Linked DNA regions of Bombyx mori. The protein of the gene in region 2 interacts with the protein of the main gene of each other region in a pairwise test. Links are inferred from orthologs where the notes say so. Each region holds a gene or a part of one and is shown on either strand. Other genes may lie near its edges.

Region 1 (4,830 bases), on a different chromosome or scaffold from region 2:
CGGGTTGTTTTCTCAGCAAACTTTTTGGTTTTTTTTTTTATATACTTAATAAAAAAAAAATTACGCCGATATCGCTAGCACGAATTTTAAAATTAAGTAAGCCCTTATCACGATAAAATTCACGAATCCACAAAATCTTTGTTGTTTTCGATGTCAATGTATAGACATAATTAATGCGTAAAGTTTTCTTATGATGGATGACTAAGATTTTCGTTGGCAAAAATTTGTTTTTTTTATTAATGACCCTCCTTATATGCTTATCTATACAGAGTAACGTAAATTACCAAAAACGGTTTAATGACGTGTTTTTTTTTAATTAAATTTACGAAGACTATCTATACATCCTACAGTCGGAAAATGTAAAATCAAATTAACGGGATATTTTACGGTTAGGCTGAAACGTGCTGCGTAATTCTGTATTTCCGTTTCCTCCCTGAATATTAAATCTAGATCAAATATTTTTATGTACCTATTTAAATTTTGAACACGCTCGTATTAGCTTGGTATACATTATGTATGTATGTACGTATGTACTATATATTTGTTTTTATGTAACGGGTAACTTTGAATGTCATTTTCACTGAGTTCAAGGCATCCGATAATCTTGAAAATACACACATCAAGCACCAAGGAGAAACAATAATTTTATAAACTCACTCTAATACCAGTATCGACCTGATAAAAAAAAAAATATATAAGACAATAAACAAATAGTTTTAAAACGGCTTTTTTTATTTCAACTATTGGGAATCTTTTAAAATTTATTGCTTATCCTGTATCTAGAAGAATTTTTTTATCACCAACCAGAATAAAAGCAAACAAACCGGCGTAGCCATTGTCTGACTATATTGAAAAAACAAACGTTAAATTGGTTCAATTTGGGGGCGGATACAGTTGTACCTTCCGTGTCGAAAAATGCTTTTAAAATCTTTAAAGCAGTCATAGCCTCAAATTTCTAGAGCACAAATAAATAATGCATTATTGTGAGAAGTGAGACAGATAATATATCAATGGCATTCATTGATGCCAATAAGTTCAACCTCATGTTTGTGGTAGATTCCAGATGAACCATCAGCTTCACGGTCTATCTACAATACTAAAAAAGAACATTCTGAAACACTGAACAAAAAATGATTCATCTTATCACGGATTGAATCTTTATCATGTTTTTGAGAGGTCTCGTCTGATATCACGCTGCGATTGATTGTCATTAAATTATCTACAACATTTATTGTTGTTCGTGAACATGTTTGTTTTGTTCTATTGTCTAAAGTGTTGAGGAAGTGAAGGACAATTTATTTAATACAAAAAATGTATTATGTTTAGTGGTAGTAGGGCACATTACAAACAATCTAATTTATTGATTTCTGCGGCATATCATAAGCCTGCAAGTATCATCATCTTATGTATTCTGCCACAGAACATTCATGTGTTTTGGTTTGAAAATGTATCATACACCTTCCTGCAACACTACATTAAGTAAAATCGAAAATTTTAGCAATGATTATATTATTACATCGATACGTTTTTTGCATCTATTGCATATTGACTGAAAATATTGGAAATCACATGAATAAGTAAATTGAAAGGAGGCGAAAATGGAGTGAGCAGTGCCCAGTGCCACGACAGACTGATGTCATTGGTTCGGCAGGACCCCCAAACCAAACAGACATCTCACTCTAAGTCACAATAGAGGCAGACCACTACATCAATGGATGAACGGCAACAGGCTACAAGCCAGACATAAATCAATATATATAGTCCAAGCAGATGATAGTTTTGAAGAAGTTTGTATTCAAAAATATATATAAGAGGGCACAAATAGATAGTAGTATGTTGTGTGTAGTTGTGTTCATCTATTGCTTTATATGTAGCTTGTCCATCTATTGCTTTATATGAGATGAATTTAATTATAATTTTTCCATTTTCATCAAAACACAAATAAAGCACTAAAATGGCCTTTACACTATTTAAATGTCAAAATCTCAATCACATAATGTGTTAGGTGTTGAGATAAAGAAGAACCAGTGTCAATTAGCATACAGGGGTGATCTAATAATTCTAATAATAATCTCATCGAAACTCCTAAATAACTGGGATTTTATAAACCCCAACATCAGAACCACAATTGTTTGTGAGTTTGCATTTATGTTGTTGATTGTTTTTATGACTTTTTTCTTGGGGTGTTGGGTCTATATGTCACACATACCTAGGTAAGCTATTCAAAGATGTCTTATCTGAAAAAGGGTGTCACAGCCATTTACAATACATTGAAATAATTTACAATTTTAAATGTGCAGTTAGAAAGTTTAAATTTGGAAATGAGTGTTAAAATAGTCAAGAGTTGGAATTCACAGCTAAAAGAGAATTTTTGTATGAGCTATGATAACAAATAAAATGAAATGTTGCTTTGATATGATAAAACATGTACATGTACAACATTCAAGGTTACTGGACAGAGGTAACATCCAACTTGCACTGCAAGTATTCAACTTACACAATGTTTACACCAAAATATTTCTTCACCACAAACACTTCACAAGTAACACCACTAGTCTGAGCTGTGCACAGGTACGAACGACGAAACAGTAATATTATACTAGATATCATTCAATGATAATTTTTTATCACATCAACTACGATAAATTAGTACACAGAATCTTCTACGATCGCCGAACGTCACGGTACGACACAGAACACAACACGACCGCCGAAGCGGGTTTCTGCGGCCTAATTCACTCGGTTTAGTTTTTCACCGCTCGCTACGTCACAGTCGCGGTTGCAGCTCACGGTTTTTGTATCAATATTATGGCCCCTAGACGAGGTGAAGGCCTCAATGATTCGGATCACTCTAGAAAGTCAGGTCACATGAAATATTAAGAACTAAACTTACCAAAAATAGTTAAATCCGACTTTGACAACAAACGAAAACTTTCAAGTTAAATTGTTTTTATATTGGATATCGCATTATATTAATTAAAACGTCGAGTTATATTATAACAGTTGACTTACTTTATAATTTTGTTGTAAAATAATATACCGTTTACAAAACAGTTTTTGACGAATTGAAACTGTCAAGATTTAATTCATGACAAAATCAACAATATGTCCTCCAACAGGTCATCCGGTCAGCGACATTACTTATTAAATAAAAATGCAAAGTCATCAAATGTTCACGTACCTTTATACCTTGTAAATACTGGAAGGATTTAATTTCAGGGTAAATATAAACTTAAAAACTTTTTTTATTATAGGGGATAAACGTTTCACAATGAATCACGAGCGTCAAACTACGAAAACAAACAAAAACGTCAACTGTCAATGCATACCTTTTTAAAATATGTTTACGGCTATCATACTCGACTTTTTAGTTATCTTGGGTTAAAGTTTGTCTAGCACTGTTGGCCGTATGTTCGTGTATTTAAAGTTTGTAAGAAACTTTTCGGCGGGGAGGCAAGGTAACTGTATGGATTATTTTATTTTGTTAATTTAGTGTTGCTTCTAGTTTAAACGTATAATCATGGTAGATTATCAATCGTTTAGCATCTGTGAAAGTGCAGAAGTTGAAACCCGAAGTACAAAAGTCGAACGCGAACGAAATTACATGTAGATTTCAGTAAATTTCATTATTGGGTATCACTGTTCTGTCTGTTTCTAAAGCATAACAGTTAGAAAGCGTTCCGCTATGAAAGGTGGACTACATAGTCTATACAATACAAATGAGTCTTTGATTTTATGTTTTGTGATCGGTGGCAATATTAACGTAGTGCTCGGTGCGACACGATAATCTATTTAATGTGACCGCTGCTTATTACATATCCGACTCAAAGGACGAGGCAACGTAAAATTACATCGCGAAACATGACCTATCCGATCCTTTCACTCACGGTTACTTTCTTCATCAATCACGTCAATTGCGACGAAGTTTTCGATGATCGAATTAACTCATAGACACAACCCACTGCGTTTCTGGCCGGATATTCTCAATGAGTCGTGATTCTGATCGGGTAATAGATTTTGCAGCGGCACTGTTCTTGCTAGGGCTAGTGTTAGCAAATTTTCTCAGGTTGAATTTCTGAGCTCATCTACTTGTTTGCGCGTAGCTGAAATAGCCCCTTAGACACCAGCGAATAGACAACGAATTATAAAAAATAACAGGTGCGTATTGCTCGTCAACTTATCTAAATCTAATAGGAAGGAATGAAACCAAATTGAATCATCTGAAATTGCAATGAGATGAGATGAGGTGACGTCGAAATAGAATTGTGTGCGTATTTTTGAAAAAGATACCGCTAAGCCATGTCCTGCGATTTTGTTTTATTTTCTCACACCTGCCCATATACACATGCTAAAAGATTACTAACCCACTATTATTACGCATTTGACCAAAAAGAATAATTGGCTGTATGGATTTTGTTTCCTTTGCTTTCACCTTGTTCTATGTGTGAAACAAATAAAAAAATCAGCGCATTTGAAACGGCGGTTTCTGATCAATTCTGTTTCGCATTCAAATGTTTACAAAATTTTATGTGAAATTGCATTGTGTACATGAAAGATTTAATACAAAATGAATATAACGACTTTTTCTAACAATAATGTTCGTGGCGATGATAGTAGTCCTATTATTCGAGCTAAAACATTTGTAAGTAATTAACATGATTCAACGAATATATAGGTTATGTTTGAGTTAAGTTATTTTTTTTGTTTCTTACAGAATATACCAGAAAAATGTTTCAATAAGGGCGTAGGATGTGCGTGGAGGAGTGGTAACAAGTTTTCTATCTACCCACGCAGTCAAACTGTTTCGAAAACACCAAAAAATGATGTCGA
Region 2 (4,336 bases):
CGGTCACGGCCGCGTCGTTTGGGGGTAGTCCCCCGCACCCGGTGGTCGCAGCTTCGGTTCCCGGACAGCCGGTGACGTCTACGCCGATCGCGGCTCTGAACAAAGAGGTCATATCGAAACCAGGTAATCAAATAATCATAATTGTAGTTTGAAAACTAAAAAAATAAACATGCTTTAACATCTAATCGAACTAACAGTTGGTGTCATAATTTTGTTTGTCCTGTCGATACTGGTAGTGATATCAGAGGGTAGTTATAAAACTGTTGTGTCGTCAGCGGTCATTGACCCGCGGGTGGGTTGATTTGTATTACGGGTTTTTCTCTGGACCCTGAATAATGATGTTACATGTGGAAGGGTGAAAGTTTATTTGGTCTAAGCGACATTTATCTTTATAATTAAAGGTCCGTTTTATTTGGTATCAGCACCAACAGTTCGATGTTTTTAATTGAACTTCAATTAAGTTTACTCTATTTGAATAGCTGAAGAAAAGGTTTTTTGTTATGATATTTTTTTCTAAATTTTAAACTTTCAATGGCTCTTTTGTAAAGTTGCAAAAATGTCGCGTAAACCCAACAACCTTTCACCCGTCGATGTGATCTCAGTAGGAAGAAATTATTTTGAATTTAGCGTGATTCCTGCTGTCCTTCCAGGATCCGTAGTGACGAGTCCCGAAGTCCCGATGGGAGTGATGAGCCCCCCTCCCATGGAGTGGGGGGTGCCGCAGCCACAGAAACTCAAGTGTGTATCGTCGACTGCTGCTAAAGCGATACCTGACCCTAGAGGGTTACCAGGCCACTTTCAGACTTGACCTTCGTGCCTCAGTGCTATAGTACAACAACCGCCCCAACCTTCAAACCGGAACGCATACTGCTTCGTGGCAAAAATAGGTGAAGCGGCTGTGCCTATCCGTGACAATCAAAAGACGCCCTGCTACTAACCGCTTCTGAATAATAATATTAAAAAACGAAGGAGCTGATCTGCGGACCCTGGACCGCAACGGAACTCCTGAACGGCCACTGGTAACCCAATCGAGTTTGGGCTCGTTAGATCTGTCCCAACGAGTGTTCTCGTGTGTTCTCTGTGTTCAATTCAGTACAATGTTAAGAAATTGAGAAGTGCGCGTTTGGAATGGTATGGACATGTGGTGAGATGAAATGACAATGAGATTGTCAAGAGAGTTTTAACTATGAATGTAGAAGGCTTTAGAGGAAGAGGTAGACCTAAAAAAAATGGATGGATTGCGTGAAAGACGATATGTGTCAGAGGGGAGTGAGCTAAATGGTGCATGATAGAGGAGTATGGAAGGAGAAACCATGTTGCGCCGATCCCAGGCGACTAGGAAAAGGACAGGATAATGATGATGTACTCCCTAGGTACACGCAGCTGTTCAACGCCACTGACCGCGCGAAGACCGGATCCGTTTCCGGGACGCAGGCGAGGTCCATCATGCTGCAGTCCAGACTCCCACAGCAAAGCCTGGCCCAGATCTGGGCGCTGGCCGATCTGGACGCCGATGGGAAATTGGGTGTGCTATTGAATCTGTTTTTTTTTTGAGACATGGTCACCCCTTAGTTGCCACCTGTCTTGAGGCACGAGGTCGAAGGTATAAAGGCTGTTCCGTGCTTCAAACCTAAACGTATAACTGCTTAGCGACAAAGACGATTAAGATGGCGGTACCTACTCGTACGGCCTGACGATATTTTCTACAAGTGTGTTTTCTTAATTCAAGTGAAAAACGTAGTCACTGAACCCGGATTAAATATCAAAACAATGCTCTAAATCCAAGTTCCCTAAAACTGAAATTTCATACCAAAATTAATTTGATATTTTAAGTAATAAAAAAATACCACGGGGAAATCTTCAGCTGCTCCCAACGACAACATTTGAAGTAATTAATTAGGTATGATTCGAGAATCTGCAACCTTAGTAATGTGTAGAGGACTTGTACTTGTACTTGGACTCGGAACCCGGTAAGGATGTGACGGTTGTCTCTCGCGTCCAGGCTGCGAAGAGTTCGTCCTGGCGATGTACCTGTGCGAGAAGGCGACGCAGGGCGAGCCGGTGCCCGCCAGGCTGCCTCCGGAACTGATCCCGCCTTCCTTCAGGTAAACCGACTTGAGTTCCACCTAAAAGTAAACAGGTTTCCACCCGGTCACTGTTCATGAGTTATTGGTGAAGTCTTGTGAGCCCGCACGGGTAGGTACCACCGCCCTACCGCAAAGCTGACATGCGATCTGGTTTTAAGAGCTAGTCCGTCTGCTTTTGCACATGGTGTTAAGTGGTTACTGGAGCCTATAGACATCTACGACGCAAATGCTGCTACCCACCTTGTGATATGAGTTCTAAGGTTCCATAGTTCTATAGTTACAACATAGGCAGGGCGATGGTACTTACCCGCGTTGACTGACAAGAGGTCCTATTACCAGTAATGATAATCTCTAGATAAAAGGGTGCATGTACTTATGTACGCGCGTAAGAAGTTATACTTTATTTTTATTCAAATAGAAACTCAAAGAATGTGGATAAATATTATAAATATAAATACACAGTGAACAGAGGCGGCGTGCGTGCCAACATGCGCCACTAACAGAGGTTCCATTTCTGTTTTGTTGGTAGCGTTTTTTACGAGTGTACATGCGCGAAAGTTCACCTGCGGCTATATTCAGACTCGCCAAGTTACGTCGGTCGTATTGTAATGAGTGATTTAGTGGGCAACTTCATTCTGTTTTGTGTCACGGTGCGCGCGCATCGTAAAATTTCACTATCATCAATTTTTCATAACGCTTCTAAAGAAGTATAACTTCAAAAAGTCGCTGTTGGTCTCGCAGGAGGGAATCGGTTTCGTCCACGAGCAGCGCTAAGTCGTACGAGGAGCGGCGGCGGGAGAACATGGCGCGCGGACAGGCCGAGCTCGAGCGCCGACGGACGCAGCTGGCCGACGCACAGATGAAGGAGAAGGTAAGAGGGCGGGGTCTGAACCAGAGCCAGTGGAGGGGGTCAACGGGGGACCACTCAACCAATCGTTTTAAACTGTGGCAGCGGCGTCGGTCGTGGCTGATCGACGCCCAGATTAACGAGAAGGTAAGGGGACGGGGTTTGAACTAGAACCAATGGGGGGGTCAACAGGGAACCATTGAACCAACCGTTTTAAACCGTGGCAGCGGTATCGGTCGTAGCTGATCGACGCACAGACGAAGGAGAAGGTAAGAGGACGGGGTCTGAACCACAGCCACTGAAGGAGGTCAACAGCAACAGGGGACCATTGAACCGATTGTTTTGAACCGTGTCAGCGCCGCCGGACGCAGCTGGCCGACGCCCAGATGAAGGAGAAGATAAGGGGACGGGGTCTGAACGAGAGCCAGTGGAGGGGGTCAACAGGGGACCATTGACCAATGGTTTAAAACCCTCACGCCCATCTCTATCTGTATCTGTGTGTGTGCGTGTGCGTGTGCGTGTGTGCGTGCCAACAAATTTGAACAGCCATTATTGTCAGTGTCATTGTCATTGAATTTGATTGAATTTTCGTTTTTGTATTTCACGCCTTCAAGGAAGCAGAGGTACATATGAACTGTTGCAATTAATCTTTTGAATTAATTAAGCATTTCTGAACTTTATCAAACAAGTCTTATTTAAATGTAATGTGTAGTGTAGTCATATGCAGTAGACTGGATCAGGTCCTCCGACGGTCCGCGCCTTTTTTTTATAGCATAGGTGGGTGGACGAGTTCACAGCCCACCTGATGTTAAGTTGTTATCGGACCCCATAGACTTCTACAACGTAAATGCGTCACCCACCTTGAGATATAAGTTCTAAGGTCTCAGTATAGTCACAACGGCTGCCCCGTCCTTCAAACCGAAACGCATTACTGCTTCACGGCAGAAACAGGCAGGGTGGTGGTAACTACTCGCGCGGACTCATAAGTTCGGTCAGATAAGGCTCACCGGTGAACATGGTGTTCAACGTGTTAAGTATATATGAGTTTTTATATCACTCTCTGCTTCCCATAGTGGGGTCGCAGTTAAAACTAGATAACTCGACCTCCTTCTATTCCGTGGCATGCGTCATCCTTCTAACAGGCAGAGAGGGAGAGGAAAGAGCGAGAGGAAGCCGAGAAGAGAGAAAAACTCCGTCTGGAGGCCCAGCAGAGGGAGCAGGAGGAGTTACTCCGTAAACAGAAGGAGGAACAGGTACGGACCATTGGACCTCCCCCACCGAACGCTGGTTACCAGTCTAAGAGCCGAGGTGATGGTACAAACTGCAGCCTCGTGGGTTTTAGGCGTTGTCCCCCATAGGTCATAAGGTCGGGGTATGGTTTCCATAAAAATTTGGGCTATAG
Region 3 (5,103 bases), on a different chromosome or scaffold from region 2:
TACAGCCAAAGATTTATTGTATTGTATGTCTTCAAAGTTAGCACGTTGCCTGTCCAGAGTATTTTGGTTAAGTACCCATGACCCCGTTTTTTTTTCGGCTTAACTATTTCATTTTATGTACTTATGAAGTACATGTAAGTGCTTTTCAAAAAACACTTTCAAAAACAACTAAAATACTGAATTTCATGCATGCATTAGTTTTAATGCACAGACGTGTCAGCTAGAATACCGTGCATTACTTATAATGCACGAATGTAGTAACAAGAACATCGTGGATTACATATAATGCACGGACGTCACAGCTGGACCAAAAATGCATTATATATAATGCACGGACAGGCAACGTGTTAATTTATGAAGTTAGTAAATTTTTATTATTATATACTAGTCATTAGTAGTATTTATTACTTTATAATAGTACAATTTTAGTAAAAAAATGACTCACAGACATGAGATCTTGCATTTGTGGGTTGGAGGTGATGAGGCTACGCATATTCTCAGGATCATTCATCATCTGCTGCACCAATGGATTGTCTAAGACTTGTCTGAGCATATCAGGGTTGGACAGAAGTTCCTGTTGCATTCTAGCCTGTGAATAATATAAGCCTTAGTAGGGTCCAAATTTGTTAATTATACAGTAGGCGTAAGTTTGACTGTTCCTCTATCATTGCTGGTTTATGAGGGACGGCTTAAACTTGCTATTAATAGGGCCGTATGTTCTATTGCATATAAAGCCAGTCTGAATTAAAAAAAAAACACAAAAAAAGCAAAACAATCATGCATTTTGGTTATCTTCTCAGTGGGTTGTGTTTTTGATCTGGTGGTAGATTCTGTGAAGCACTGTTCTTGCTAGGGCCAGTGTTAGCAACACCTCCGGTTTGAGTCCTGAGAACTCACCTATACGCTAGAGTAACACTGATATAGCCTTTCAAGGGTATCAGCATAGGTAGGAAAAAAAAGGAAATATCCTAATTAAATTGTTACTTGGAATTCTATCTGAAGCTGTCATATGGGTTGCGGTAACTGTGCTAGATGGGTTGAGAACCCCAATAAATAGACTAAACGAAAGGCTTGTTAATAATAAAAAATTACAGTTTTACAGTTTATAAATGTAGCTGAAAACTTTTCAATATCATATAAAGCAGTCCTGTGATATAAATACCTGGAGATCCATAAAAGTACTCTGACCAAGGCCCAAGCTTTCAAGACCCGCCAGCCCACCCAGCGAGTTTAAACCAAATGGTGTAGCACTGACGTCAGCTAGGAAAATGATATTACAAATGTAGTGGAAATAAATTTCATATTTTTATAATTTTCAATAATCTAACACAAGTGTTATTAAGTAAACAATTGGATTTCTTTCTAGTAAAATAAATCCAAATAAGAAGAATTTTTATTTGAAACAAACATCCAAGTATTTAAATGATTATTATCATCATCATATTAACTATTAGTATTTGGCCAGTCTGAGCGAGAGGATCTGATGTTATAACAGATTGTCTAGTTTATGAGTAGAATAGATGTGTGTGAAATTACTGTTTTACTAATGCTACTGTGGCTTCTAACTGAATGTGTCACAATGATGAATGTGGACATGTTCACCATAAGATGTCTATAGATTCTGGTTACCTTTAACAGCAGGTGTGCCAATTGCTCACAAGTCATAAATGTTAGATATAGCCATAAACACAAGTATCCCATTAACACCTGACATATCTTTTACAAAAAATTATCTTTATTAGACTAAAACAGGTCAAAACAACATATACCAAAGTTTCTGATTTACTGTAAAGAAAAAGTTTATGCTTAATTATTGTTTTACCTTGATTAACACAATAAAAGCTTTACTTTACAAGTAAGAAATTAATATTTAGTGCAGCAAAATGTAATATATTTATATTTTCCAAAAGCTTTGTGGCCCAAAATAAAGTTTTCAATTTGCCACTGAAGCTAATATGCTGTACGAGAAATTTAATTTTCCTATGACATAAATATTAAGCCATTAAGCAGGCCAAATGCAGGCAGCATTGGAGGAAGCTGGTGCAAAAACTGGACCAAGGTGGTCACAACCCTCAGTCATGAGGAAACGACAGAGAAGAAGAGAGAAATATAATATACACAAGTTCCCAGTCAAATATCTATTATTTATTTTTATTGCACAGATAGATGGAGGAGCACCTAGTTTTAAGTGCTTAACAAAGCCCATTGATATCACAATGTGAATGAAACCACTAGACACACGAGGCAAAAGACCAAATTGTCTTAGATAATGACTGTCCTATCCTGCAAACTAATGTGTGCATGCCATGCTGCATTAATAGGCAAATTGGTGGATTCCACCTGAGCAGGTTAACAGTATGCCATCTATTTTTCCAAAAAGTTTCTATTTTTTTTCACTTTAAGAGTGGATATAATATATGATACATGTAGCGATAGCTTATATGGCAGAAGAAATTAGACGACATATCAAGCCAGCAAGATTTTCAAGATAAGTTTTCAATAACATTTTGGTTGTGAGTCTAACAAAAATTTTCACTGGCTCATTGAAATCTTCACATTGGAATCTCTAAAATTTACATACATTTTATAGTGTCCATAATTAGTGAATATGATTCTTGTATGTTCCTCCATTTGTTTCTCAAAACAATTAAATATCATCAATGTTTACTTGCAAATAGCTAAACTAACTGTATTTCATTATCCAGGTTAATTCGTATGACATATTTTATTGAAATGGACTTGGAACTCGTTAGTCAACACAACTAATGAAAATCCAATCCTAGTTAGTTAATTTACCTGGGGGTCTACGAGCCGCACCCTCCGGTTCTGGTCTTGGAGGAGCTTTAATCACTAGATGCACTGTCAACCCATCTTTGATGTTGTGTTGCTTCAGGGTATCGGCATCATTCATGATTTTCCCGGCGAAAATAAGACATAATTGTTCTGGTTCTGTACTGAATTTTGAAGACAACACTTCTTTGAGCTAAAACGAATGAAAATACTGCGTTTTTATGTGCCGGAATGAAGAAATATATGTCGTCACTGATTGCGTGTCCCATATCAATGTTATTACGCCATGAATGAAGGATTTCACGGCCCCCTACTCACTCTTTTGATATCGGCATCTTCCTCAATTTCAACTTGCTGCTTCTCTTTCGGGGTTTTAACTGTGATCGTAATTTTTTTAGGGTCGTCTTGTCCCTCTGCCATTTTGGCAATTCTAGAATGACTATGTACTTTGGCGGAAAAGTAAAATTTATACGAGAAAGACAAATTGACGAATAGCGTTGACTTGTATATTGTCTATGGGTCAGTATGACGGCTAACTAGTAGTGCTGCCAGACAACTAAGACCATAAATTTCACAAAAATAGTTGGCATGGTTCTATTTGGAAATTGCTGATTGACCTCTATTTTGATTTGTGAATCTTAAGACCAAGCATGAGAATAAAAACATTTTTGAGTGCACATGCAAGTGTGTGCGTTGAATTAAATAGATCCTAAAAATTATATGCAGATTACCAAAAAAGAACGTACGGTATTTATGTGAGTTAAGTAGGATAGCTCTATCTATAGACAATACACTTAATATTTGCTCTAATAAATGCGCTTTTAGTGCCAACATAATCTTATTTATTTATTTTAGTATTACTCATGGCCCGGAGGCCTTTCCAGCTTCACCAGGACTGGTGGGCGAACAAAGGCTCATCAAGAAGGGATGGGATATGCAAATAGCTGCCCGAGCACCTCCGAAGGAGACCTAACAAATCAAGAGCAGCTGCTTTGCGAATGAATCTGCTGCCGGATTGGAATCGCAACCCACTGAGAAGATCCGGCAAGAAACTCAGCGTACTGATGTTTAGGTTAGGGTACACGTCGAACTTTATGCCGAGTTTGACGAGTACGGTTACCGGGGTCCCTAAGCCTGGTCCTATTGTTAGAGCTAAAGGCGTCTCATGCAAGGATTATTGGATCTGATGGATCCGTAAAGACGTGTTTAGGACATCGACGGTGACTGGCTCCTGCGTGATCAGGATTCAGAGAGTAGTCAGCGGCGACAACGATAAGGCGATTATCATAACGCATAGACTTATCGAAATACCGTTTCGACACTGACTTCATGTGTTTCCGGATGGATTCGAGACCCAGGTCATCGTATAGGTCAAGGTTCCTTATGACCCACTCCGACTGTTAACCTGCAAGAGCGGGTTTGTAGGGATTGTCTATGTGTATATCATAGAGGTGTCTATGTGTTTGCGGGCCGCTTGAGCGAACACCACACTAGCATAAGTCATGACGTGAACATAAAACTGTCCCTCGATAACCATTTTATTTTTGCGTAATTAGCGTAATTACTGGTGGTAGTACCTCTTGTGAGTCCGTACGGGTAGGTACTACAGCCCTGCCAATTTCTGGCGTGAAGCAGTAATGCGTTTCGGTTTGAAGGGTGGGGAAGCCGTTGTAATTATACTGAGACCTTAGAACTTATATCTCAAGGTGGGCGGCGGCATTAACGTTGTCGATGTCTATGGACTCCAGAAACCACTTAACACCAGGTGAGCTGTGAGCTCGTCCACTCATGTAATAAATAAAAAAATTAGTAAAAAATTTCACAAAAAACAGATTAAGAATGGATGGACTTTAAAAATGCGATAACTTTCGAACGAAAATATTTTGATAAGATCTCGGGTGGATAGCCTTATGAACATATAATATGGATATAGTATGTATAAATTATGTTAGTGATTTAGTGTAGTTAACAAAAAATAGAATTTTATATTTTTGTTATCACGCTAGGTACTATATTATTTTAAGTATTTTCATATCGTGATCAATGTAGAGAAAGTATTTAATTTTTTGTTCGTCCAAGTATGTTGTACGGGGTTACCAATTTACAAATAAGTTTCTATTTCTTCTTTAATGTAAATAAATTACAGACTGAAGAATCGAATACACATTATCAAAAAATGTCTAATTGTTAAATAACAATTAGACATTTTTATCTAACAATTAGACATTTTTTAATTTTTTATTAGAAGAAGAAGAAGAAGAAATAGAAAATCTGCGTTAGCTCACCGCCGGTTGGCAGAGTTCCCAGAAGGCT

What was found. The genes of interacting proteins can lie anywhere in the genome.
Region 1: the proteins of intersectin-1 (region 2) and epsin-1 interact in a two-hybrid assay, tested with the Caenorhabditis elegans proteins (3 studies listed by BioGRID). The link is inferred for Bombyx mori from reciprocal best matches to the Caenorhabditis elegans genes itsn-1 and epn-1.
Region 3: the proteins of intersectin-1 (region 2) and ubiquilin-1 interact in a two-hybrid assay, tested with the Caenorhabditis elegans proteins (3 studies listed by BioGRID). The link is inferred for Bombyx mori from reciprocal best matches to the Caenorhabditis elegans genes itsn-1 and ubql-1.

What each region holds. Positions count from the first base shown.
Region 1 is NC_085123.1:531,253-536,082, reverse strand, and holds the start of epsin-1, read right to left. Parts: upstream 3,343-4,830; 5' UTR 3,182-3,342; exon of another isoform or gene 2,894-3,181; intron 2,784-2,893; exon of another isoform or gene 2,498-2,783; intron 1-2,497. Other genes in the region: nuclear pore complex protein Nup85, read left to right, coding at 4,568-4,642, 4,715-4,830.
Region 2 is NC_085117.1:626,798-631,133, reverse strand, and holds part of intersectin-1, read left to right. Parts: coding exon 1-123; intron 124-650; coding exon 651-738; intron 739-1,373; coding exon 1,374-1,525; intron 1,526-2,002; coding exon 2,003-2,105; intron 2,106-2,828; coding exon 2,829-2,958; intron 2,959-4,076; coding exon 4,077-4,187; intron 4,188-4,336.
Region 3 is NC_085127.1:9,240,299-9,245,401, reverse strand, and holds the start of ubiquilin-1, read right to left. Parts: upstream 3,343-5,103; 5' UTR 3,211-3,342; coding exon 3,109-3,210; intron 2,984-3,108; coding exon 2,797-2,983; intron 1,261-2,796; coding exon 1,163-1,260; intron 590-1,162; coding exon 446-589; intron 1-445. UniProt on the Caenorhabditis elegans protein: May play a role in the ER-associated protein degradation pathway (ERAD) possibly via its interaction with ER-localized proteins ubxn-4 and cdc-48.1 and/or cdc48.2, providing a link between the polyubiquitinated ERAD substrates and the proteasome.